4 linked regions of the Lepisosteus oculatus genome follow. The protein of the gene in region 1 interacts with the protein of each later gene in a pairwise test. Links are inferred from orthologs where the notes say so. Each region holds a gene or a part of one and is shown in the gene's direction. Other genes may lie near its edges. The genes, in order: endophilin-B1, tpd52l2b, sypa and ric8a.

Evidence for each region.
Region 2: the proteins of endophilin-B1 (region 1) and tpd52l2b interact in binary tests that used the Homo sapiens proteins (3 or more experiments, as listed by UniProt). The two-hybrid records come from large-scale screens. The link is inferred for Lepisosteus oculatus from reciprocal best matches to the Homo sapiens genes SH3GLB1 and TPD52L2.
Region 3: the proteins of endophilin-B1 (region 1) and sypa interact in binary tests that used the Homo sapiens proteins (3 or more experiments, as listed by UniProt). The link is inferred for Lepisosteus oculatus from reciprocal best matches to the Homo sapiens genes SH3GLB1 and SYP.
Region 4: the proteins of endophilin-B1 (region 1) and ric8a interact in binary tests that used the Homo sapiens proteins (3 or more experiments, as listed by UniProt). The link is inferred for Lepisosteus oculatus from reciprocal best matches to the Homo sapiens genes SH3GLB1 and RIC8A.

What each region holds. Positions count from the first base shown.
Region 1 is NC_090704.1:637,877-644,895, forward strand, and holds the start of endophilin-B1, read left to right. Parts: upstream 1-4,008; 5' UTR 4,009-4,296; coding exon 4,297-4,359; intron 4,360-5,380; coding exon 5,381-5,522; intron 5,523-7,019. Other genes in the region: calcium-activated chloride channel regulator 4-like, read left to right, coding at 1,319-1,821. UniProt on the Homo sapiens protein: May be required for normal outer mitochondrial membrane dynamics. Required for coatomer-mediated retrograde transport in certain cells. May recruit other proteins to membranes with high curvature. May promote membrane fusion.
Region 2 is NC_090711.1:5,491,029-5,498,046, reverse strand, and holds the start of tpd52l2b (tpd52 like 2b), read left to right. Parts: upstream 1-4,002; 5' UTR 4,003-4,204; coding exon 4,205-4,223; intron 4,224-5,874; coding exon 5,875-6,023; intron 6,024-6,449; coding exon 6,450-6,598; intron 6,599-7,018.
Region 3 is NC_090697.1:75,189,843-75,196,908, forward strand, and holds the start of sypa (synaptophysin a), read left to right. Parts: upstream 1-4,045; 5' UTR 4,046-4,136; coding exon 4,137-4,154; intron 4,155-5,564; coding exon 5,565-5,630; intron 5,631-7,066.
Region 4 is NC_090716.1:11,899,885-11,906,870, reverse strand, and holds the start of ric8a (synembryn-A), read left to right. Parts: upstream 1-3,961; 5' UTR 3,962-4,123; coding exon 4,124-4,213; intron 4,214-6,986. Other genes in the region: bet1l (BET1-like protein), read right to left, coding at 29-85, 480-571, 1,249-1,267.

The sequences.
Region 1 (7,019 bases):
CTAAGCAATGTCCTGCTCTTTTCAAATCTAAAAACAAATCTGAATGGCTTGAGCCATCCTTGAATGGTGCCATTGCTGCCATGCATGGTCAAGCATGCAGTTGTGTCCATCTCTCCATTCTCACATGGAGGTTGAGCTGTTCCGGCCATCAGCAGCCCACGCAGTTGAGGGCGATGGCTCTTCATGTGCGTCCTGTGTGCGATTCCAGAGATGGCTGATGAAATCACCCTGGATCAGGCAGAGCCTGCTGCAGTTTGGGCAGCTTGTTCCCTCCTTGTTCCTGAGTAGGCCAGGCCGTCCTGGGGAGTTGATTTGATCAGGACAAGCAGCTTCCCATGTTGCCACCTTGTCTTGCTGAATGGTTTCAGAGTGAAAGATCCTTGTATCTGTATCGCCATCAGGCTGGAGTCAACATTGCACTTCCTCGAGTCCTTTCTGCCCTTCTCCTGATCTTGTGCCTCCACCGCGGCAGGAGTAGTATATAGTTTTCACTGGGTGTGTTAGTATATTATAGGTTTAGGGCTTGTGTGCATATCCTCATATGGGAGTAATTAGTGCTATTCTATAGTACAAATAAGGTGTTAGTTGTGGCTGGAAAGTGATCAGGGTGTTAGTGGAGATTTAAGTTGATCTAAGAACCTCTATTATCTTAAAAAGTTTTGTTTTCTAGCTTTGTGTTAAACACTGTACAAATAAAACAAGAAGAACCCATGGAATGCTCTGCGAGTCTTGTGTCCACCACTGGTGAAAGTACATCGGTCACATTCACCCAAAGTGCTCTGGCACAGGATGTTGGCATTAGGGAGTCTGGAACAGCTCAGCCATGTTGTGCAAACTGGTACCCTGGCATGTTTCAAGAAACTGCTGGATAAAGTCCTCCGATCAATAAGCAATCAAATGAGCTAGATGTATCAAATCTTCTTGTTTGCAAAATGGAGGACTAGGATTCAACATCACTGCTTTAGTTTATACAATTCAACATAGACTCCACACTCCTTGCAAAATTCTTGTACCTCAAGTCCATACTGACAGATAAAACTGGAAGTGTCATTTTTTTTATAACTTCACTCCCACTTATGCATGTCTTAGTTTAGCGTTACCTATGACATGGTTAAATTGAGTGCAGACATACTTCGTTTACAAATAATGACAGGCTTCCTCCTTCTGTGCTGTTTGTAATGCAATGGAATGTGCTTGATAAGATTCCCGTCCATCAGAAGGAAGTGGCATTGCAGTGATTTACATCTCTTTTCAACAGACACGGTTTCTCTGCATGAAGATTGTAGCTGATATTATAAATGTGGTTTTTATCTTGCAGCTGCAGAATATAAAATAAAGATGGGTGAAAATGTTTTTGACCTAAGAGACAGATTTGAGAGTGCCTTTCAGGTGAATCCAACCCATGTCACTCCCTCACCGGCGGGCACCAGAGAAGAGCTGGAACAGCCGATCGAAGGTATGGATCAAATGAACGGCACCATCGTTTATTTTGCCATCTGTGCTGTGGATGAAAATGGACTGATGTCTGAAATGTCCAACATAGCTCAGGTAGCAATAATAGAGCCGCTGGTCCCTGCTGGACCAGAGCTTAAGGTTCTCCTGTCTCAAGACAACGGCGAGGACAGCGATTCCGACAGCGACAGCAACGAGGGTGGACTGGGCAGTGTGTCGGTCGTGGGCATAGCGGTGACCACTACTATCCTCAGTGTGTGTCTGGTTTTAGGCCTGATCAGGCTGTTCATGCACAAGAGAGAGCAGGGCGACTACACACTGAGAGACGGGCCGGAGGTAGAGAGAGTACCAATGGCCAGTAATGTGTAAAGGAGCAGACTCCAAGCTCTCTGAGAGCACTTTTATGTTGGGTACTGAAAAAACACTGGTACTTTTGATAGCCAGTGAGGGAAAAGGGTATTGGTTTGTTTATTGGGCAGAGCTTTCCAAATCTACTATTGCTTAGGATAAATGTTAAAGGAATACAGAATAAACAATGGAAGCAGGGAAAGTCATTGTCAATGTATTATTCTGCTTATGGAGAAGTTTTCAGTATAGGATCTGTTCTATATTAACTTCTTGCTCGTGGCAATTCTTTATTTAAAAATCCTGAATTCATAAGACCATACTGGTGAAACTAATTAAATCAGATCTCTGCCTGTGGCTCCTATATATCTCATGCAGCGAATTATTTTTAAAGGGCCTGTTGCTATAAGAGTGGGTCATGTGTACAATAATTGTGTAGAAGAGCTGACACTACTGATTTTTTCTGTTAAAATGAATCTGTTCACACATACTGTTAAAATGTGCAGTGCATATCACTTACAATAAACAGACATACACTTCACACCATCATCTAGTGATGGGGAAAAATCTACACAGAAAACAGTAACTTCATCTAAAAAAAATATTATTTCACTACTTTTACAAAGATCACGGCAAACTGTTTTTTAATGGGAGAGAGGAGTTCAGGTGAAGCTTGCTTTGAACACCATGGGTTAATATCTTTTAAGGCAGCGGGACACACATAGTTCTATAACATGCACTTGGGTTTTGTTGGGAGTAATAATGCACTCATTGTATTGTAATGTATCTCAATAAAGAATTATTTGTTTTTTTAATATACATCTGTTAAATCTTTGAAAATGTGTTATTTATTTTTGAAGGAGTACTTGAAATAGTAGTTTTAGATGTATTTTAAAAGATTCAGATATACGATATAAAAACAAAAACCATGGAGTTTTCACAAGGAAAATCAGTTACATACTGTAAAATAACATTACCAGCTTTTAATCTGTCCCTCTATTATTTAGTTGATGAAAAATGTGCAAACGGCTCCATCTACTGACCTGACTTATTTATCCCACTCATTTGTTGAGCAAGGAGCTAGCAGCATCAGTCTGCAGGCTGCACAGGGAACAGCAGAGGCTAATTCCACCTTGTTTAAAAAGTACAAGCGAGTTCTTGTTTGCTTCAGTACAGCTGCTGAAGCAGCTGTTAAAACTCCTTAAACAGCCATGAGTAATTTAGCAGGTTTGCTGTCATACTTATTGTTGCTAGATGAATAATGTATTGAAGGAGAGTAAGAGTTGTATTTAAAACCCTGTAATAACCCATATAAACAGCGGAACAAGTAATAGGTTTATTCCATGCTGAAAAAAAGAAGAAAGAAAACAACGTTTCGGCCGTGGAGCCTTCTTCAGGTGTAAGCACCTCAATCTGAGATTCAGGTTTAAGTGATGCAAAGGACCTCCATCTTTTCCATGTGCACAAAGCTAGGGTCCCGATAGACATTGTGTGGTATTTCCTGATGCTGATGAGCTGGTGCACAGATCTGTAACATCTATAATCGGTCGCGACTACACAAAAGCCAAGGTAAAGCATTAGTCTACTGATATAACCTACTGAATGGTCACTCTTGAGCTTGCCAGCATGGACTCCAGCTAATCCACAACCCACGGCCAGAAAACTGGGCAGGAAACGGATGGGTGAATGGTATGTACTGACCATAAGAACAGGTAAAGGTTTTTTCCCTGCTGAAAAGAAGAGATTTTTTCAGCTCCGTGGCTGAAATGTTGTGTCCCTTCTCTTTTCAGCAGGGAATAAACCTTTACCTGTTCCTTTGGAGCCCACGCATGGTGATACAGCTCCTTACTTGAACTAACCATAGTTTACAGGCCAAGAAAAACTTGCCCATCATTAGGACAGGCATTATCTATTTTTTTTAAATAACCAAAACAACATTTAACTTAAGCAGTCTTTGAAATCGATCAAATCAAATCAAAACCTTTTCTTTATTAAGCTGATATGAATGTCAGGAATTTCACAATGCTTAGAAAACTAATCCAAAATGTTTCTAGGCTACCCTGTGGAGTTCTGCATCCGTTCTTGAGTTTGATTCGCAAATGTATCGATCAATTGATTGAAATAAGATAATAAACCTGGACGTTTTCAGGAAATGTGCATCCTACACACTTCCTCTAGTTAATAACAAGCGAACAAGGGTGCTTGAAATCGGTGCCTTCGTGGCACAGGATGAGGACAAAGCCATTTCTGCTGTCGCTGTAGTATTAATTCCCTCACTCGTGGAAACACTTCAGAGTCCGTCAGTCAGACAGAAAGACGGTTCCTCCTCTTCCTTTGCGTCCAGGGAGCAAAGTACAGTATCGGAGGCCAGACGCTCCTTGTACTGTGAGAGGGAAGGTCTGATCTCAGCAGGCGGACTGAAGGAGAGGAGTGTCTCTACCCATTTCACCGCCGTTTCCACTCGGCTGAATGGAGATGGTCTAAAGCGCCGTCAGCATCATGGACTTCAACGTAAAAAGACTGGCGGCAGACGCCGGCACTTTTCTGAGCCGAGCGGTGCAGGTAAAGCGCACATGTGTCACGGCTGGAACGTGGCAGCTGAAATTAATAGAGAAGTTTCTTGATGTACTGTCTCTGTTTCCGGACCCTGTGCCGCGCCTCTGTCCCCGGTGTGGCGCCGCGGGAAAGCCCGGTGCTCCGCCGGGCCTGCTGGGACCCTCGGAGCGCAGTCACAGGGCCTTTGGGCGTTGGTTTAACGGGTTTATTTTAACAATTGGTTATGTTTTATATATTTTTTTTAGCGGTCGAGGTTTGAAAACTTGTCATGTGACCAATTTTTGAGTCGGAAAAAATCCTCTTTCTAAATCTTGAGTTCGGGATCGAAAGCCGATGAAGTCGGCTGTGCTGAGAGACAGCGGCTAGAAAACACCCCGGCTGTCCCCGGGGTCAGAGGAGTCAGGCGCCCCTGATTTTTCACTGTTTACTGCAAATATGTTAATGACGGGGAAAGGAAACTGAATATAGCATTGCGAAACTAAAACCCATAAATTCACACCACTGCCTCTGTCCTCTTCATTTACTGTACACAATGTGCACTGTAACGGTGTAACACATTGCTTACCTACTGTAGGTTCGGTTCTCATGTATACAGTGTTAGTACAGTGACATTTAGAGGTTTATTTTCAGTGGGCTTCGAAAACTGTTGCGCTAGTTTTGAGGTTAGCTGTAAAGGAGGGGTTTTTCAACTACTGCAAGTGAGACAGATGTGTGGAAAAAAAGGATGTGATTTAAGTTATCTGAGAAAAATATATATTAACATAGCAGACAAACATGAACATATTGTTATAAACTTTATTAACATAAAGTAACTTCCACAAAATTTCATTGCAGGGTTGTTTTAAAGGATGGGTAATCCAGAATATGTAGGGGGAAACTGGTTAGAAACCAAAGATTTCTAACCAGTAGTTTATATGTATTGGAGTTTTGAACGCTTTGTTCAGTTTCTGCATTCAAAGGGAAAGTGTATGTCTGTGAGCCGGTAACAGCAGTGATGATGTGATTTTTCCTGCAATTCCCGGTGTAGTTTACGGAGGAGAAGCTGGGCCAGGCCGAGAAGACGGAATTGGATGCTCATCTGGAGAATCTTCTGACCCGAGCAGAATGCACAAAACACTGGACAGAGAAGATCATGAAACAGACTGAGGTTCTGCTGCAGCCAAACCCTAGTAAGATGTTTTGCTTTGTATTAAGTCAACTTAATCAGCAAAACTTTTAGAGCTCCCTTCCAAACCTTCAGGACTGTGGCTCTCCATTCACGGGAAGGATGGTCATCACTCCAGACTGGCTCCCAAATCAGGGGTTGCAAGAAGGGTTTAAGAAGCCCGTGCAACATGGCAGCTCTGACCGCTGATGCAGTTTGGAGGCTAGTCACGGTATTATTCAGACACCCTGCGGTAACACACTGCCTACATAGAGCTTTCTGGACAGAATATTGAGTTTGAACAATTCACTGCAAAACCAATGGAGAAAATCCCTGACTCTCTCATGATCTCAGGGAAATGCGTAGCCTGAAAGATACAACTTTAAAAGAGGTTATAGTTGTCCTCCCCCGCCAAAGCAGCCGTTCATCCTTCTCAGCCCAGTTGTGCTCTCCCCTGTCAGGACAGAGAGCCCAGAATACCAGAGGCAGGTGACAGAGCAATTTCAGTTCTCCTGCCACACGGCTGAGCTAACTTTGCCATAAGTGTAACACCTAGGCTTTAAGACACTAAGTACACTTGCTTCTAAATCAGGGGTTGCACAGATGAAGACCACTATATTTCTTGTCCATGTCTTCACCCCTCTGTTTACACAGAGTGTGACGCTACAGCGTTACATCAGAACGTTAGGAAGAACACGGGCGACGAAGGCAAGGCAATCAGAAATCAGCCAGCACTGATGTTGCCACACTGAACAAAATGCAGAAATAGTCCAGTACGCAGTTGCACACAATGCCCTTTCATATCGATCAAATGCATTTCAAGGTCTGTCGAGACAAAATTATGAGAAAACGAATGACTCAGGATAAGGTTGGTGTTGAGGTTCATTTAAAGACTTTGAAAAGACCAGTTTGGTAAATAATTGATTAGTCTAAGTCACTGGTCGTGTGCTTTGCAGGGGTTAATAATGAAGGGTGAAAAAAGACGTGTTTTACTGCTGGGGTGACCTTTTTGTAGTCAATACTAATACGGGACACATGACACTCACACAGTATGTCTTTAAATCGTCTTGCCCTTTGTATTCTGAATAACCTGCTACTTCTTGACTCAGATTATGAGTTATTGACCTAGAACAGTTGTAAAAATAACGTTAGATTTCATCAGATGCTATTTTCGATTGTAATTCGCCCATCCTGTTTTTGTCTGTGTGCTACAGTCTTAGCACTAGACATGATAATATTTTTTCTTCAGTGACATCATTGCTCTTCCGTGGGCTTCACTGGGATGTGGCTGGAGAATGGTGTTCCTGGGGGAGGTGGGAATATGAATTCTCGGGAGCAGTTTGAGCTGTGTGTCTGAGTCACACCGGCTTGGGAGCACTCAGTTACAGTATCTCTAGTGGGTCTGTGTGTTAGAGCCTCAGAGTGTGTCACTTGTTGCATGCTGCATTAAACTGTTTCATCTTCAAGCAGATAATAAGATTATTCACAGGAAACACCCATGACTGGAAAAGAAACTAATGGA
Region 2 (7,018 bases), on another chromosome or scaffold:
CGGCAAGAAGAAAGTGGGTCAAATAATTTGAACCATTATTCTCTCCGGGCTGAAATGGAGTCACGCAGATGAATCAGTTCCACAATACGAAAGGGGGGACATCCTCTAGGGTAACTGAAGAAGCACGGATTCTGACATATCTATGGGGGTAAGAAAAAAAAGAACTTGCACCTTCTAAGGCTCAGCTTTATGAGGCTTTTCATTAGTTTTAACCAATTATGTCTATTTTATAAAACCTGGCTGTCATGCTGAATTTTTTTGTCACTTTTCAGGAACAGAACGCGCTCTATTATAAGGTTAAGAACAAATGGGGACAACATCATGTTTTAAAATGTTCAGAAACAACGTAGCATGCTAAAGGAATGCTACCGAGTAGTGATTACAAGACTTCCATTCAAGATCTTACAGTAAGATTAATAATTTAAAAATACCACTGACACAGCTGCTAGTCCTACTTTTTTTCTATTGGCAATGTTGCTTTTACTTCTACAAATATCAACAGTACAGTGGTACAGTTGATTACCCTGCATAGATTTCTAATAAAATATGTTTGTCACATTTAGACGTGCAAACAGCGTTTGCTTTCTGGTTCTCAAACCTGGAAGAGGTTTTACAGTTATTTCAGTGCAGGATGTAATAGAGGATGGGTAGAGTCCTGATTTCCTGTATTGTACAGGTAGATAAAGGAAATGTTTTCTTTCTCCCAAAATATAATGCTGCTTCATTAAGTAATCCCATTCGCAGGCCACATTCTTCACTGTCAGGGGTTTTCTGCAACACAGAAAGTGCCTTAAAAGACATTTTGAAACTGTTGTGATCATGGGGAAGGAGAAGTAGTGGTTAAACTGTCCCCCAGCATAGATTTTTCTCCCACTCTGACAGATGGCTACCTTGCCCCTGTTACCCTCACTTGAAACCAATGTCCAGTTAAAATCTGGCTTTGGAGAAATGAAGCCTTGTCTCTCCTTACACACCAGACCACACACACAGACGCAGACATGTGTCATGATCAATAAATAATAAATACCCATGTCTTTGGAAAATTGTTTGATATCTTTCAGAAATATAGAGCTACCAAAAAAAAAGATCTTCTGGTCAAATATATTAAATGGCATTATTGTCTTCTAGGCTAAAATAAGAGGGCATATAATAGGAATGAAGAAACCCGTGAAGGTCAAAAAAATATATAGAACAGGTGGAGAAATAATTTAACCACCATGAACAGCCTATCTGTGTTAACGCCACCGAATAAAAAAATTGATGTCATAGTTTCACGCTGACTATTAGCTCAGCTTGTGGCTCTCTGTGAAAAAAGGGGATCTAGATGACTAAAATTCACGGTTTCTAGTGAAAAAGACAGAGTGGGGGAAGGGGGGTTGGTGAATTCTACAGGATGCTTCCTCCCAGCTTTACCGTATGTTCTGCTGTGGCATTTTCACTTCCAATGGCAAAACCCAGTCAGAATTATATTCCTCCTTCTCTGGCCATTATAAATGACCATGTATAGAACTGACATGCATGAAGAAAAGTCTGTCAGCGCATAAACTGTCTTCTATTAAAAGACAATGTATGGAAAAAGTTGAGCAAAAAAGTAAAATTGCTGACCTGTTGGTGATGATAAAAAGATGAACTGTTATGATAAAACAGAAACATCAAACAGGCAGTGTCAGGGATCTGTTTAGAAGGACAGTGAAAGCCAGGATCTGATGGGCTCTGTGCTTCATACCGAGATATAGTGTTGTATGTGGAGGCTATCTCGTACAGATAAAATACTGTGTAATAGCAATAAGCATGTTGCAATTTGAATGAATGAATTTCAGATGAAAACTTGCTCTAGTCCCTTATATAGTGTTTTGGATCACAGTTGTTCTAAGGGATGCAAATATCCTTTTAGGGTGATATATAGCAGAGTTCCGGTGTATTTTGCAATATTGTTTGATTCAAACAGTGCCACTCAGATCAGAAATAAAGTTCTGGTGACTCATTTCTCGACAACTTCATGTGGGTTATATGGGTGTAAGACCAAGGGCTGGTGGGGGCATGCAGGGTGTGGTTGCAGACTGTGTGCTTAAGGGGAAATTCAAGACTTCTCAGACAGGATCTGTAGCTTTCAAAAGGGAATTAACTCTTCCCTGCATAACAGACAGAAGCACATTTAACATGTAAATCTGGTTTAAACATCTTGAAAGTCATTTGAAAAGAGGATTCCTACGGCAGTACAAAACAAAGCATGGTAATTTGAACAATAACAATAAGCAGCTACCGTTATAATAAAACCGTCTGAACATATGGAAAACTGTCCTCATATTTCTGATTGTTCTGATTGTAGGCTGCCTTTTATCTTCTTTAATAAATCTACTTAAAATGCATGCAAAATTAACTTAGAAAAAACAATAAAACAAAAACTGTACAATTTGCACCATGTCTGTGAATACTGGCAATCACTCTAAATATTACTTTACTGTTTTTAAGATTAATTTTAATATTTGCATCCTACTAATGTATTATTTCGGGTGCAATTGTTTTCAGCAGTCACACATTCGTTATTTTGGTTTGTATTGTTCTGGTAATTGCACTTTTCTCCTTTCCTGTAATTGCAAGATTAACTGAAAAATAATCTAGACCCCGAATTACACTGGAACTTTCAAGTTTTTCTTTTCAGTTCTTTGAAGGTATCTAGTATTAAATAAGGTTGCTACTCCCTCTAGTGTATAGAATTGTACAGCTTTACAGACCGGAAATCCAGGACAGAACAGTAGTTTACACCATCTGCAGTACTTTTCTTCAACACATTTTGGATCATATACATTTTGTATATAGAATATATGCTGGTATTTTATATTCTTGGTTTAAAAGTATTATTACTGAATTTAGAGCCAGCACGGTCGCAGTGAGAGCTGTTGCTTCACAGAATTTGGGTGCTGGGTTCAGTTTTGGACTTGGATACGTTCTGTGCGATTCCATGTTCTTCCCTTGTTTGTGTCGGTTTTAATCCTCTGGTTTCCTCCCACCTCCCGAACACTGCTGACTAGGTTAGCTGGAATCTCTAAATTGGCCCAGTGTGTGTGCATGCCACGTGACAAGTGCCCTGACCAGGGTGTGGTCGTACTTTTAGCCCTGTGCTCCCACTTTACCTTGACAAATATCAGGACTAATCTTCTGAGAATGGATGTGTTACTGAATCGATATATTTTATATATTCTGGATTATACATTATCATAATTTATTGTTCATACGTGTTATACCCTCTACAGACTATATAAACCACACTTTAAAGGTTAGTTTCAAGAATAAGGTATTGGGTTGGATCCCCACTAGACCTACTCCACATTTATCAGATCACTGACCTTGTAATATCAAAAGGTTATTATTGAAACTCAGTCTTTGAAGCGTTTGAAGATATTTTAAATGTTAAGGGAGCGCGACAAGCAAATAAACATGAGAACTAGTACACAGCAAATTCAGCGGTATTTTCAAAGCCGAATAGACAAAAACGTCAATGAACCGTCACCTATCGTGGAATTTAGGAAATCTTCGCAAAAAAAAAATGTAGACGCAGGTATGGCTTTAGCTGACCAATTTATCCATACGGCGTTTGCAGTCACGAAGACTTAAAACACTATCGCTGATTGATAAAGCTTCAGGCTACAAATGTTTTGTTTGTTCTTTTTATTTCAATAATTACTTACATCCTAGCGACTGAGCACTTAATTAGGTCATGATATTTTCAGCGTTTTATATTTTTTTCGTATATTTTAATATTGACCGTGCTTAACATCTAATCCTAATTGTAGTAGCAATCTGCATCTGCGGGTGGACATGTCCTGCTTTTCGTTGAGCACCTACAATTGCGAAACGCTCGATGAGTTAACAACGCATTAACTCCTACACGTCTCTATTAGTCTCATCGTTATAATTAGAAAACATTTTAGTGCAACATGTTGCCTTTAGGTATGCAACCAACCAGAATATTCAGAATTGCGTCAGGAGACGTCATTATGAAGCGCCGGAAGCGAGTGAGCCAGGGCTCGCCGAGCTGAGCTGGAGTACCTTCAGTGTCCGTCTCAGTGGATTTGTTGTTGTGAAAGCCGATGCAACAAGGAGAGGTTTTGTGTTTCAGGAAATCTGGGTAGAAAACACAGACCTACAGTCCTGAACACGTTAAACACCCGAAGATTGTTGACTGTTTGGAAAAACTGACACGATGGACTCTGCAAACCAAGGTACAGTTTTTGGTGGCATTTAGATTCTAATCTGAGAAAGTACGCAAGTACCTTACAAATGGAGCAGGGAGGGCCTGACGGCTGCGCTTTCCAAATAAAACGGACGGGGAAGAGAGCCAAGGAGGTGTAGTATTACAATGTGTCCAGGATAAACTATTCCTTTGTTTCAAGTGTGAAGACTTTTTCTCGCTACATCATGGACACGTCGTCATAATATTCTTCCCTTTCGTTCCGATCGTGAGTAAACAATAGGTTGTTTGTTTTGCAGGATACTCTCAAGGGATTTGTCGTAGTCGTGTTTTTTTAGAAGTGTCAACGATCCCAAATGTCTCATTTTAAAAATGTCACAGTTTTAAAAAAACGGACACGCATCTTATCCATTTTTAAATATTCTCCAAAGCGAGGATTTTGTCGCATTTTGTAACTTTTTAAGTTTCGCTTCCGCCGTTACACGTTATTGCTTAAAGAGCATTTCTTCCAAGTGTTAGTGTCGTTGACCATTGGAAGTAATTTTTTATTTAAAATAGTCACAGGTGCATAGCATGACTTCTGAGTTCTGAAGTCGAAGGCGATTCGAGAAGGATAGTATTCTAAAATATCTCGAAAGCTTGTGTCATTGCCGAGGGTGCATGTTTGTAAAAAATTAATGTCATCTTTGCGACAGAGCGCTAACGGATGACCGTTTAATTAATTTCATTTTTGTGATGAGAGTGTGAGGTATCGTACTGGGAACAATTTAAAATTAAGATGGTGACTTGAACATATTTTTTCTTTGACTTCGCTCTCTCTTTTTTAGCTAATGGTCAAATTTTAATGGATGGTTAAGAATAGCATTGAAGCTGAAATGGAAAGAGGTGGAATTTATTCAGAAATGTCCCAAATGTCTCCAATAGTTCCGTAATTAATTTAGAACAACAATGCTTATCAGATGTTGAAGACTTGTGCTTAATTTGAACTTCCTTCTTAAAAGCTCTATTTCAAGGGAATAACACTTTAAAATCAGTTGAAGGGGAAGTTGCTGAAAATGAGAAAATGACTGTGGTTAGTAATAGAACAATTGAATTTCACCATACTGTAAAATGATAGTATTGCTGTTGAGCTTAGAAGCATATATTGGATTTTGTTGTTTGTGACATATCTACATCCCACAATAACATCCGAAACATTTATAAAAATGATATTGAAAATTATAATTATTGGTGTTTTATTTATGCAAATGCATTTTGTTATCACAGGCACCAGTCTAGCACTTTGTATATTAGTAAATTATATCTTACTCATGCACTCACTGTTTACTTCCTGTTACTGAACATTGCAATGTCATCTCACGTATAGCCTAAGCATGCTCTCGTTGCATTCACGTAGGCCTCAATCAAGACATTTGGACAGTGATCTAATGCCTGCAAAAATGCCATGTTGTTCCATTTTATGATTTTGTTGCACAAAGGTGCTTATTGATTTGTTTACATGAACTTTTGCTGGAGATATGTCTGCTCTGTGTGTCAGTCCGAACTGCTGCACTGTTTTACTATTGATAACCACATGCAAACATTCAATAAATCTTTTCAAAAACAAGTCTATGTAGCTTCTTTATGTCAATGATATGCAAGATGTCTAAACCACTATCTTTATGTATGTGCTGGGCATGCAGATATCAATCTCAACTCTCCCAACAAAGGTCTGGGGTCAGACACCATGACAGATGTGCCCGTAGAAGGAGCTGCAGGTAACCCCAGTACCACATTGCCTCCAGGCTTGAGTGAAGAGGAGACAGAAGAATTAAAGACTGAACTGAACAAGGCAATCTTGATTTTTTTCCTCTATTTTTATTAGTCCTTTGTGTCTGAAAAGTCATACTGAAAGAAGAAAACTTTTGCACAGACTCATTAGGACAAAGTAACAAGGACAAATTGCCATGTACTTGATCTATTTTTCTTTTCTCTGACCTATTCTGGAGTATTAATATTATCTCATCTGCATTACCTTGCCTGTGACAGATGCTTAGAATGATATAGTTTATTCCACTACTGTGTATTGAATAGTTTATACCACTGACTTTTTGTCACTACTAGCAAATCTGTGGTAATTAAGTTTCAGAATTTGAACTTGGGTCATAAATTATGAGGGTATTTTAGCTGACGTTTAAAAACTGATTGTACGCTTTTCTTTCCTGTTTGTGCCCTTCATTGAAATCTGTGGTATGTAAGTATCTGCTGTGCTTTCTAGGTGGAAGAGGAGATACACACTCTGCGCCAGGTGCTTTCTGCCAAAGAGAAACATGCTTATGAGCTCAAAAGAAAACTGGGACTCACTCCATTGAATGAGCTGAAACAAAACTTAACCAAAGGCTGGCAAGATGTTCAGACCTCTACAGCGTACGTACTGTCATTGTATACATTAATGCAAAAATTCCATTCCTTGCAGGTTAATCTTGCTTGCTGAAAGGTCTTTTGTATTGTATGGTGTTGAAGTGACGATCGTCCTAATAGCTGTTAGGATCTTGAAAAGGCTGCTTGAGTCATGCTAGAATTGTCTTAGAGGCGTCCTAGCAACTCCAAAGCAATTCAGTGTGTGTCCACAAGTGGCTGGAAAATCATGTCATTGTGGTAAGTAGTTAATTGCTTTTTCTACGTACAATATAATTTGTCTTGCCTCATTAAAAACACTTGCATAGGGAAATCTATGGAGAGAAGACAACACTTATGAAGTGGTTTTCCTGACATTGTGGATTCCTGGAATGAAGAACTTAACAGCTGTCTTCCTTAGCTTAGAGCAAGGCACAGCATGGATGTCCT
Region 3 (7,066 bases), on another chromosome or scaffold:
ACAAGTCCAGGTTTATTCCAGGCTGAAAAGAGAAGAAAAGAAACAACTTCTCAGCTGTGGAGCTGTTTTCAGGCTCCACAGGCGAAATGTTGTTTCTTCTTGTCTCTTTTCCGCCTGGAATAAACCTGGACTTGTTCCTTTGCAGCCCACGCCTGCTGACACGGCTCCCTACTTGAACAGGATCCCACTTTGCCAGTTCGCACAATCCTGGGGCTTTTCCGGCCTGGGTCACTGCGCGATACCCACCGGTGAACAGCCGATAACGGATTAATAGAATCGAGCAGGACCCTCTCTTTCTTCATGAAAGGTTAAAACAAACGTGTTTGGGGTGCGGATGGCACTGCCCTTTTACAGACAGTGAGATGAGGAGTGTTGAGCAGTACACAGTCTTCATTTGGGACGTGCCCAGGGAACTTCGGGTGCGGCTGAGCGCTCTTCCGAGCTGTGCCTCTTCCGGGCAGCAGTGGGCGCTGTAGAGCCGAGTCCGGGAGCTCAGGCCCCTCCCACTGCCTCCTGACAGGAAGCTCCATGACATGTGTCTGCAGGGGCTCGGATTCCTTTGGCTTACTCCAGCCCGTTGGTGTCTGTTCCTTGGGTTGGCGCCTGTGTCTTTTCTGACTTGTATTCTCTGACTCTCGGGAAGAGAGGGAGGTTGATCCTGCAGAGAGCTGTTTAATTGCAATAAAGGTATCGAGGTGCTCTCTATCCAATGGGTAGAGTTGCTGGGTTTTTTTTGGGAGGCGGAGCTGGGGACACCTGCTCCTGGATCGGGAACGCTGTTGTTTCTGATCCGATGCCCTTGTCTGTGTCAGTGGGAGGTACGGAGGGCTGCAGCTCTGTGAGTGGGGTCTGAATGGCACCAGCTTGACGGCCAAGAGGATTGGAGCTGTGCCACTCGTCCTGTGGGCGTGGGACACGTGACCCCAACGTGGGCTGACCGCAGCACCCCCTCGCTGTTCCCCCAGTTTACCCCCAGGGCCGATTTCTGCTCCATCCCTCTTCCTCTTCCTCTTCCGTGTGCGGACCTTTCGATATTTTCTCAGAGAGAGGAGAAACGGGCGCAGGGGAGGGGAGGCCCGATGGACAAGAAGACAAGGTGGCTATAACGAACAACTCTCTCGTTGACAACTGCCGCCTGTCCTTTCAGACGTGGGCAGGTGATGGAGGGCAACAGCTCGTCTCCCACAGCATTATGGGAAGTGTGGTTCAGGCAAGGAACTCCATCTTGTCCTGCTCCTTCTTCCCTCCAGCCAATTCCACCCCTCACTGTAGCGGTTCCCTATCCTGCTCCTGGTGCCCCAGAGATCATCGGATTCATCATTCAGACGAACGGAGCTTTAACCATAGTATTTTGCGAGTGGAATAAAATCCCCAACTTTTTGTGACTAGAAAACAAAAAAAAAATATTCAATTGAAGCAACTTCTTACATGAATTAAGGCTTCGATTGTCTAATTAAAGGGGGTCTGGAGTGAAAACCAGCAGGTGTGGGGGTCACCGGGAACAGGCTTGGGGGACCCCTGCCTACAGGTGTTGCCGGCGAAGGTCAGGGTGGCCTGGAGCCTCTCTCGGCGTCACTGGGAGCAGGGCGAGCTAAACCCTTCATGGGATACCCATCCATGACATGATGTTAGGATCTTGTCTCCAGAACACAGGAAAACAAGCGAAATGTTTTCCAGAGGCAATCCGATTTTGTTTCCAGCCGCTGGCAGGTGTGATTAATCTTGGATTACCTGCTTATGCAACGCGCAGGGCCATAACCCTGAATTCTCCTTTAAACCGACAGCCGGAATATCGCCAGCGCGTGATTTTTCGGATAAGGGCTCGTCCTGTCTGGGAGAGGAGAACCGGGATGTGTCTGGCCAGTCGCGTCCCTGAGCCCCTTTCCCCACAGAGCTCCTGACCAGCCCTTCCCTTCGGACCAACCTGCATGGCAGATCCCAGAAATCATAAAGCCGTGGACGCCGGAGGGCTAGCCAGAGCCCAGGGCTCGGTGGCCAGATGTGAGCGGTCTTGACCAGACAGGAAGTGTCCCCCGGTGTTACGCCCGGGTCGGGCCACACGGGAGTACAGCTCTGTCTGACCCGGTCACTCGATCCTCGGACAGCGCCTGGCTCGCCCAGGCCAGAAGGCCTGGTGCAGCCCATCCCTCCACCGTCTAGGTATCAGAGGAGGGTGAGGTCACTGCGGTAGCTCGCTCAACACCCTGAGCCCCGTTTACGCGAGGGTGCTCCACGCATGGTTTTCTATTTGCACCCGCAGAGCTCCGTGACCCGACCCGTCTTACCGCAGACGGCTCTTGCGCCCTGCGTATCGCAGGTCTGCAGCGCTCCTCTGTGTGAAACGGGGCTCGGCGCGCGGAGTGAGGTCGCTGGAGGGGAACCGCCCCGCCCTGCGGTCTAGACGCCGTAGATGTCACGAGCAGTTCTTTCCGGGCCCTATGCGGACGACACGATCCAGAATAGTGAAGACACGAGGGGAAAAACGGTCATGCAGGTAAAGGGTCTGGAGACGGGGGGCGTGTCCATGCAGTGCAGGTGTCCAGGGGAAGTGAATCCAGGGGAACAATCCATGTAGGAAATCCAAACGGGAAATCAGAAACAAGGGCTGAAGGCCATAACCAGGCGATCCATCCGGTTGGGGGGGAACAGGAACCGGGTCGGAACCGGCGAGGGAAACAGGAACTAGGAACTTGGAAGATAAAAGCATAACGGTGCCAGACGCAGCACGACCCCGAGCTCTCACGGAAATACGGAAATCAATGAGGAACCAGGAGTAAGGTCCGCGTCTGGCTTTTAAGGAGGAACGGGATTAGAGACCAGGTGCAGACAATGGGGCGGGACAAGGAAGGGCTGGAGCGCCCTTAAGAGGAGGGGTTAGTGATCGTGACAGCAGAGCCCTGCTGGGGCGGAGGAGCCGGTCTGTGCGCGGGGTGGGGTGACCCGCTGCCCCGGCAGCGAGGCCATGCCGGTCGAACCCCAGCGGAGGCAGGGGGGGCTGCTCTCATCGCCCGAATCACATGAAATAGCTCGAGCGAGAAAGTCTCGGGGTGAGAGAGCCCCGTTTTTCCTGCACCCGAGCACAGACATTCTTCTGCTGGGCGAAGCTGGGAGGGAGGGAGATCCATCCATCTGTTTTCTGACTGCTCCGTTCGGGATCGGGGTCGCGACGGAGCCAGGACCTATCCCAGCAGGCACCGGACACACACACACATGCGCGTGCGCCCACCAGGGCCAATTACCCAGAAGCCAACGAACCCACCAGCATGTCTGTGGACTGTGGGAGGGAACCAGAGCCCCCAAGGGAAACCCATGTGAACACGGGGGAGAACATGCAGACTCCCCACAGACAGCACCCCAGGGCCGGAACTGGACCCGGGGCCCCAGCGCGGTGAGGCAGCAATGCTGACCGCTGGCGGGCAGGAGGGAGGGCCCGGCCTAACCTCCCGCGAAAGGGGGTGTCACGATGGAGACTGCCATTACCGTGAAGATGATGCCTGGCAGTTTTCGGCTCTGGGCGAGATCGGTAAAGGAGAAGACGAGGAACAGATTCCGGCGATCTGCGAGTACTTATTACAGCGTTAATTAGACTCAAACGAGCCATGTGGTAGCGGGGGGGTGGGGTTGCAGGGGCTGTGTCACCAATGTGTGCTGCAGACCCAGAGCAGATGGACTGAGGTCCTGACGCCCCCCCTCCCCTGATTCTCCTCCATTATCATTGCAAACAACTCTTAACTGACTAATTCCCTCTAATCTGATCTTTACTCAAAATAATATCCCTGGGACACGCTGGAGCTTGTTTCCAGACCTGCCTTTGTCACAAAGACAAAATGTCTCTCCCAAAAAACAAAAACAGCAGCATTACCGACTGATTGCCGAACCTTGGCACGCAGTGCACGGGATCGAACAATTTGTCTGGCGATGGCATTTTGTAAGAGCCCTCCACCCCCCCCACCGTTGCCAGTACCTAAAATGGCGCACAGTTGGGGATTAAGGCTTCACCGGGCTGTGCCGTGCCCACACTAGGAGCTTGTGACGCCAATAGGAGCTGTTCTACGCTCTGTCCCTCCCTCCCCCTGCTGCCTCTCACTCCCTCCCTCCACTCTGCTGATCTCCTTATCTCCGAGAAAGCCGCAAAGATGGATATTGTGAACCAGGTAACGGCTCTCCAGAACCGATAGATGATGATGCATTTTAAAATGTTGTTTTTTTTTCTCTGTTTTAATTCTTCTTCCTTCTCCTCGCCGCTGCGGTGATCCTTTATTTTTTTCGGAGCGGCGGTCCGGGGAGAAAAAGGAGAGGCTCGATTTCGGGAGCGCCTGGGCGGTCGGGGGACGGGCGCTGCGGGCTGCGCTGCCTTGTTTGTGCGGCGCAGCTGAGATGCGGCTCCTCTGACGGAGCAGCCGGTCCCGCAGCGTCCAGGGCGGAGAGAAGACAAGATGAAAACAGCCGCGACAGCGTTTAGCGCAATAGGCAAATCCCGGTCCAGCGAGGGCTGCGGCTCCCCCAGTCGCGGGGAGCCCGGGGTGCGTGTGATTGTGCGCGGCTGCTGCTCCTGGTGTCTTGCCCGGTGATGTAGCCCGGGTGCGCGCCGGTACCCCGGGGCTGTACCCCGGGGGGCGGATAGACGGGTCCCGGGGCACAGACAGACGCCACTCGGTTTATTCATTCCTGCTCGCTGGGACGCCCAGTCATCTCACGGTTTGCTCTGCGCTGCGCGTCCGTTTTCTCCTGGCCGGTCTGTTTTCTTTTTTTTTTTCATCTGTTTTCACCGCGGCTGTGAAGGGGAGGGAGACCTCCGCCGGGGGGGGGGGGGTGAGGAGAGAATACCCCCCCATCCCTCCTCCATTACCCCACCCCACCTCCCCAGAGGAGGAACACGCTCCCCGCGATGGGGCAGGTGGCAGGTGTGGGGACAAACACGACCCGCCCCGTCGTCGCCACCCGCGGCGCCCGTCCCGTCGCGCATTCCCCCAGCGCGAGCCGGCTGCGTCGACGTCCCGCCAGCCCCGAGCGCCTCCTCGAGCCTGGAGCCGCGCGCGGCTGCGGGGCGGTGAAACAGCCGGGCCCGGCGGGGCAATTAAAGACTGACCCTCCCCCCCCACCACCACCATCACCACCACCATCACCTCACAGCCCCACGCCTGCCGGAGCTCCAGGTGCAGTGGGGTGAAGGAGCTGGGGGGGGGCATGTCGGTCCTCTCGGCGAAGAGGAAGCCGCCGGCGCTCGCGGAGGTGCCGCCCCCACGCGCAGCCGAGGCCCGCTGCGGGGAGGCTCGCGCAGGAGACGGGGATGGAGACGGTGATGAAGACAGGGATGAAGACGGTGATGAAGACGGTGATGGAGACGGTGACGGAGACAGCACCGCTTTTCCTCCGCGGCCCGCCGGTCCCGAGCCTGTCGGCTCTGCGGGAGCAGGGGCCCGGCACCGTTCCAGGACAAGATCCCCCGCATATTCCCCTTCTTCCTCTCATTAGTATTGTTATTCACCTCCAGCGCGGCCCTGGACGTTTTTCGCGCGCGGCACTGATCACCGCGCTGTACTTACTGGTTTGTTTCCTTGCAGCTCGTTGCCAGTGGGCAGTTCAAGATTGCCAAAGAGCCCCTGGGGTTTATCAAGATACTGGAATGGGTGAGTAGCTCTTGACTTACTCTCATATCCTGAACTCCTGAGAAGAACGGATGAATATTCGTGGACAGGGGATACGAAGATGTTAGTATGTACCGCACATGTGCCCCCTTAATATTATCAGCAGTTTTATTGCTGCTGAAACCGGGTGAGCACGCGGGGGGGTTGTGTCCTTTCGTTCACATCTGGAGGTCACAGCGCGTGACGGCGACGCGGCCCGCGTTCGCGCGCGCGAGCCGTGGCAGCTGGAGGCGCTCGCTCCAGCTGTGCGGGAGCACCGCGCGCCCGCCGCTGTGGACACGGGCGAGAGCCCGCGCTGCTGCTGCGCGGATGTGCTTTTAATTATCTTTATTTTCGTTGGGGAAAAAAAAAAAAAGAATTTGAAATCAACCATTATTCAAAATATGATTACAGAATGAACGAAAAGTGAGATACAAAAATACCGATCTTGTTTATTATAGTGGCTATTTTGAACCTGCTGCAAGCAGCTCAGAGCAGGATTTAGGATGTTCCCAGAACCGAGGTTCCGCTCCTCGCCGCCTCCCTGCTCCTGTTTCTACACTGGGGGGCTCCCCAGGACTAAGGAAAGGAGGGTTTTCGCAGAAGAAAGAAAATATGACGCTCTTTATTTCTGGGTCTTGCGGCAGAGGAAACGCACCTCTGCGCTCCGCGAAAGCGATCCTCTTGTTCACGTTTAGCCAACAAACCTCCGATATTTTACCGCCGCCTGGCCTGAGAACAGCATCCCTCTCGTGAGCGGCTCGCCCGCAGGCCCTCCCCCCACTCCTGACGCTGAGAGGTCCCGATTCCTCGGCTCAGCCCCCTGCGGTAACGGAGAGAGAGCCATTCCGTTCTGGCTCCGCTCCACGTATTGTCAGTGTCCGCGGCCCGCCAGTGACGTCATGGCCGAGCGGAAGTGGGGCCAGGGGGCGGGGCGATATCAGCGTTACACACCAGATAGATTTATCAAGCGCTGTGTTGTACATTCTCCCTCTGTGGTGCCAAGGTCTACTCATTGCGCTAAATCAGCTTTCTGCAGCTTCGCAGACTCAATGAACAGAGACGCAGAAGGCATGTGAACTCTACTAATTGAGCAGCTGATTAAGGGTAGTTATTTTAATCCCGGCTCGAAGGAAAACCTGGAGCTGCCTTCAGTCTGGACACCTCTGTGTTCAATTAAGCCCCTTTATTTTTTTCAGTCTACATGTTTTCACCATTGCACCTGTTTCCAGCTCAGAATAGCCTCCCAGCACAACATCCGGACGTGAAGCATGCTGGGGTTCCACTACAATAACGCGTAGCTCGTTCGTTCGGTCATTAACGCTTCCTGCAGTTATGGAGCAGAATTACTTTAGATCATGGACCACATGGCCTCTTCTCCTTCGGAAGGTTTCCTAAATGAAAAACAGGCCCCAGAGATTTTGTAGCAGAGGGCTGGT
Region 4 (6,986 bases), on another chromosome or scaffold:
TATCTTAGGCCCTGCAAATTGCTCTTACCATGCCATCAAGATAGGAATTTTGGTCCTCAGCTTCTTTATCTATTTCAAAGGCCAGCTGTTAAATAAAAGCATAGAAACACTTATTAAGGAGTGCGCAACAGCAGTATCTCAGAGTCCTGTAGTAAATCTTTTGTTTCTGTATGATACGACTGGTAAACTGCATTCTTAGTTCTGATAGTAAAAATGTTGTGAAACAAAGTGAAGCCCAGGTTTGTACAAACACATGAGCAGTGTATTGGAATTCAATACTATTAGAGAATAGTAGGCTTGTCTCTGTATCGGTCTTCTGTAACGGGCCGTTTACAATCTACTTTTGCAAATTAAAACAATGAGATCATAAATCTATTACCAAGTTACTGATAAATGTTTTGGAAAATAAAAAAACGCTTTAAAATCATTTTAAAAACACACATATGCCACAAGGTGTAGTAAGAGGTTTAAATACATACTGATTTTAGTCTGGAGACTTTAGTGGCCAGATTGTCTGCCAAGAGCTTATTCTCAACATCCAGCATCTCATCCACAGCACCAGAGCCATGTCCTTACCACGAGGAAAAACAGCAAGAGAGAAGAGCATCACAAAGTAAGTGAGCACCCGTTTCAAAGCCTGTCTCAAGGCAGCACGAACACAGTTCACAGTGATAATATAAGCATGTTTGAAGACGATCAGACACACTAGAAACAAATTATATAACGCGGAAAAGGAAAACCATTTGAATTAATTATGACCAAGTGTGGGTGCCAGACGAAGCCTTAAAGAAAGCAGAGCTCTGCCCACCCTTGATTACTCCGGTTGATGCCACAATTTAATGATCAGAAACCTGTTTGATACAAACTACTCTGTGTGATCAGCGTTCCTTGAGTAATTTTAAGTAGATTAAACGAAGTAAAAAACCGTCTGAATAATGTTTAGGACGCTTACAGCATGCACATCATCAGCTTAAATGCTGTCTTTATTTTTATGACTCTACTTCGATTCAGCGATGTCTCGTTTGTAACAACTATTATACTCGTTACATTGATCAATTATTAGCTTGATGAAGCATCATAATTATATTTATTTCACTTGTTCTAGTCCAATTTACAACACCTAGTATCCACAACTTTATATACGTTTAACACACTTGTCAAGAGAAACTTTCAGACTATACAACCACACAAAAACACTATTAAACCAATAAAATATTATTTAGAATTGACTACGTGTCCACTTCCTACCTCTATTCCAGTCAGCCATCTTTGTTGACTTCCTTCTTCTGGGAAGAGGGTTAAAGGTAAAGTAACGGATACGTCACATCCTGTTACATTAATAGGGTAATGTTTGAAAGTAAAAATGTTATTAATGTCTCGTCCATATATAATGCTGATTTTATTAGAGTTGCCCTTTGGAATAAATAGATTGGAACATACATTGGCCTTGTCTTTCAATAAAAAAATAAGTGCACTATAAAATAATCCTAAAATATACGCAACTAATCCGATTGTTTCGTTTCTAAATTAAAAAAAATACATCATATTTGTTATTTTCGCCAATCAGGAAGAAAGAAATATCTTTTTGCAAATTACTGTGACAACAAAACAGAGTAAAATTATAAAATCAATTATAATTTAAATTCATTTTGAAATTAAGCAGAACTGCCTAATTTACAATAATTTTGATATATTTGTAACTATTAATAGTTAGAACAAACGCCAGAAGACACATCATCCTGCAGCTCACAGCTCACAGCTGGCAGCCCACTAAAGCTCAGCAGGGTTAATCCTGGTCAGTACTGGGATGGGAGACCTCCTGGGAAGCTATGGCTGCTGCTGGAAGTGGTGTTAGTGGGACCAGTGGGGGGTGCCCACCCTGTGGTCTGTGTGGGTCCTAATACTGTAGTGGGTGCTGTCCTTCGGATGAGACATTAAACCAAGGTCCTGACTCTCAGCGCTCATTAAAGATCCCTGGGCATTTCTCGATAAGAGTAGGGAGTTATTTTAAAAAGATATAATAACCAAATATAATAAAAGTTTTTTTTCAGTGTTACAACAGCATAAGAACAGATACAGATTTAAATATCAGAAGCTTTTAGGAAATGAAACAGAAAGGAGTGATATATTTCTTATTTTAGAGGGGTGGTCATCAGGATAGAAATCAACAACATTCCTCAGGCTGAGCAAAGGCCAAGATCTGTATTGAATACAATTAGCATAGAAGAGGTGGTGGAGTCGCAGGGATTAGAAGCCCCTAAAATTAACAGATAGGCCAGCCAGGGCCTAATGACATCCTACTAATTGGTTTTAAGGAAAGGAAAGATGTAACTATTAACCCTGTAGTGCCAGATTAATTATGTCATCCCTTAGTATCATCCCTTGAGTATACATCCCTTATTTATATCTCTTTTTTATCCTTATGACCAATTTTCATTTCAAGGCTAGAATCTGAGACTCAATCTTTTATGAGGACCATTATTAAAAACCTTTCTGAAAATCTAAATATATCATGTCATATGTCACATCCATAGCTGCTGTTATTTGTTCAAACTGTTCTAACAAGTCAAGCAAGACAGGCTTAACTAACTGCATGGTGACACCCTGGTTAGCATCGTTGTCTTGGACTGCTGGAGCGCTGTGCTCAGTTTTGGACCTGTGAATTAAATACAGATCATTTATGATACATACTTACTGTAGGTGTGTACATCATTTATATGTGGGGAAGGCAGAGAGTGAGTTAGAAATTATGATTAAATGTCTAGAATGTAAATAAAGTGATGTTTGGGCAAAACAGTAAAACACTTTAGTTTTTGTTTTTGTAGAATATTGTGAACATTTTTTTTTTTATCAGCACGTTATAAGAACATCATTACTGCTCTTGAATCATTCCAGAGAATGGTGTCCAGATAAATTCCCATACATCTGTGAGTGTCATATACTGATAGGCAAAATATTTTTAGTCTTGAGCAGGGAATACTACAAGGGGAATGCAAAATCCTTAAAGGCAATCCAATTGACTTCATCAGATTCAACATTGAAACATGAACCAGAGAACATAAATTAAATTTAAATAAGCAGAATCCTACACATTGTATAAACCCACAAGTTTAATGCTACCAGTAAAGGATCACACTTTCCGCATATACTTTCCATTTTCTACACTGTATTGACCAAAAAGAAGGAAAGAAGGACACATAACAACTGAGAAAATATACAGACCTCTGGGTTAGTCCAATTGTTAATTTTGTTAAGGAGAGGAGTAAAATATGACCTGTTAAGTATCATATGTTTAGTACCACGTACTGATTGGAAAATCAGTTTTTTTTAAATAAAAAAAGTATTTTAAAAAGTCTCTACAAGTCCTTTGATTCAACACTTAACTATCATACACATAGAAAATCTTTAGGAATTTTTCCCACCTGAGAATTGATATTGAAATATTTTTGTACAAGTCGTAAGAAGGTTAAGTGACTGGCAACTTTGTCTTTAGTATAGTTTTAGCTTAGTATCGTGATTAGTTTCACTCTTTGTTTTGTTGCAATAGAAGTGTTATTCCTTATTCCAAGGGGGATAATTAAATGAGTCGTGTTGTTGAATTCAAATGTAAAAGCTCATCAAATGTTTGTTAATAAGGCTTGTGAATCGCAGGCTCACTTTTCCAAGCACTTTTCTTTTATATAAGACGATTTGTGGACGGTATGTTCACCAGTTAATTGTAAGAATAACACCAGGGAGAAAGAGAAGAGATACACAAGAAAAAGAGCAAAAAAGAGTGCGGTTTTGCAAACCCTAAATGTACCCTTTTTTTAAAACAATGTGAATATGTCTATCTTAACACCTCGCGTTGTATCAATACATCCCCAGCATATTGTAGCAGTATTACACCTAGAGACTTGCACCTGATCGTGTAGAAACAAAAACGTAAAACTACATTTCCCAGAAATCCTTACGCACGCTTACAATCCTGCGTTAATCTTGTTCCAGGACTTTCGAGTTTCAGGGATAAGAGCTGGTAGAGTAAGGTAACGCAGTGAGACACATCAGAATATTACCCAAAGCAAGGCGTGTATGTGGTTGTCAGTTTGACTTGAACAACAATAACTGCGTCTGTAATACAGCAATGAAAATGGAATTCAATGCCATCATAGAAACGATGCAAACAGGAGACCAAGATGCCGCATTGAAGGCACTGCAGGCTTACAATAAGGAGGTATAATTTAGTATTTTTCATTTTTATACGTATTTGGTTAACATCTTGTATATTTATATATACGATTCGTATCCGTTAACCGTGTTTCCATGTGTGGGCTTCGAAATGCAGGGTATACAGTATCTGTGATTTGTTAGTGTGTTTAGCCGACTACCTTCTATTTTTACAGAAATGCATGTTTTCTGTCATTACCATCCTGACATGATGTGAACATCCTAAGTGTAACATATTTAATAGCTTCGATGTGATCTGGATTAGGGAGCCCTGGTTGTCAGCTTGAATGCATTTAATTTTATTGAATCAAACTGCCATTCACAATGGTACAGTTTGCATTTTTAAATTTTAAATGAAAATAATTAGCCATAACAACAGTGTCGCCCTAAAACGCAGGCGTATATTCTTGGTAGTAACTTTTACATTTATTTCTCAGCATTATTTAACGATGATAATTTTACATAATGGTACATCCACTCGCTGGAATACAGTTTGCCCAGGCTATTTTGTCATTGATACCAATGCTTTTGGATAGTGCAATGCAGGCAGAAATGTAACATTATTTTTTATATCAATAATCACCATCACAGCCTTGAAGAACAAAACGTATATGTAATACTTAAAATTATCTAGATCTTTGTTGGTTTTGAGATACAGGAAGACTGGGGCAATGGTCTTGGGCTGAGAGTGCAAGATACAGCTCTGTGTTAATAGTAGGTGTGTAAAGCACCTTCACCATAGTTGCCATTCTGATAGTGTAGCAAACTATTGATTTATTCTGTGCAGCTGTTATTTCAAGTGTAGTAGTAAATATCTTAATTGAAGTCATTATTATTTTAATATGTAGCTCTGGAACCCAAGCTTCACTCCAAGTTCCTTCTAGCAAGCTGAATAATACATCAGCAGGCAACTTTTTACTATTATTTTTACTTAATGTTTTTTGTGAACTGTTTTTACTTATCAGAGTAGGTACTCCATACAATTGCTTTGATGCAAGTACTGTATATAACGGTCTCTGAAGTTGTGAAATCTGGTGTGGAAATGAAGATACTTTGTGTGTATTTTTTGTTTCTCTACATTTTACATGGTATGACTTACAGATCATTTAATGCAACTAGTTATCACTGTTATAATGAGGGTGTAAGAGCCTCTTATACTTTTAGTGCCTAAATCTGATAAACGTTTTAAAGAATATTAACAGCCTTAGAGTACATCAATACCATCAGATACTTTTAATCAGCAAGGAGCTTGAAATCCATAGTTAAGATTGGGGTTGGGCTTTGTCCTTGTCTTTTTCCATCTCTTGTCAAAGCATTTAAAATGCCCAATGTCGGCATTTGTTTATGAATGTATCTACTGAAAAAGGTTCGACCATTCAACTTTGAAAATGATCAAACACAGCGTGAAAACAGGTCAACTATCAATATGATAAAATCTGATTTTGTTTTTTTCCCCACCTTGTAATCTGTATTTTTGTACATGCAAAAATAGTGCATGCTTATATCTATATTAGCATATGTGATATTCCTTTAAACCCCTGATATCACTAATGGTTCTTTCTTTTCATGTACTTTTCATTTAAATCACACTTAAAGATACTTCTGCAACAGAACATTGAGGTAATTCCTCAATACGCTGCCTTTCTTTGACGTGAATGTCAAGGAACTCCTTTCATCCTGCCCAGGAAGTCTCTGGTCTGTTCTGCGGTGCGTGTTGTGAAAATTGGATTAGATCATTGAGCCATGTGCAGCTCAGCTCATCTGAACTGTCCTGTTATAGACCAGTAAGTCACCTGGTGCCTCACAGAAGTCACGTTGACTACATACCCCTGAACAGTATCTCTGTTGCTCTTCTTCTGGAAGGAACGCTCAGCAGAATGTGATGCTGCTGTACTGTAGCTTTTTGCCCCTAGCACATCTCAAACAGCAACAGACAGAACAAGCTGTTCTTTCAGACTAACACCAGCAGTATCCTAAAGCCATATCCTAATTGGGTTAGAAATGTCATTTCCTGTTGCATGTTGATATACCCTAATTAGCTGTACATAGTGTGGGACTACATACAGTAAAAGAGCAAGCATTTACTTTTGTTGACATTATGTGAAAAGTTGTTAAGTTTACATGAACGGAAGACAAAAACTCATCCCCAGAATACTTCCGGCTTCCACTCAACTTTCCTGTTCTACACGATGGGTGTCATGTAGGTTATCTTCCTTGAAAGGTTAGAATAAGGCCTTCCAGGAGGTAAAACTGAGATACCCCCAGACCAAAAGAAAGAATAACATTTTTAAGCGAGTCTCCACGATACAAAACTGAAAAAAAAGTTTTTGGTTTTAGACAATTTGAAGAAGAACAATGCAAAGATAGAAAGTTGTGGATTGTAACAGGCCATATGTAGAAAGTGATACCCCCATTTAAACATGATCCCAAATGTAGTCATGATCCCTAACTAATCATTATAACAAAGTAAGAGTTGCAAAAATAATGATTATTTTTCTTTCCTGAGACAAAGCATTAATTTGTAAAACATTCTGCATAATTAACAAAAAAACCTTTTTGTCAGTTATGAGTGATTGCTCCTAATAATGCATGAAGGCAAAAAACAAACAAGCTGTTTTTTTTCCCAGCAGGACATATTTCTCCCATTAGTGGTGTTTGTACACAAAGTTGTTAATCAATATCTATCTTTATTCATGGCACCTTTATGTATGTGCCAACAAAAGTGGTTATTTTTTTCTTCTTGGTGTCTCTCATAAATGATGACATTACCTGGATATAAA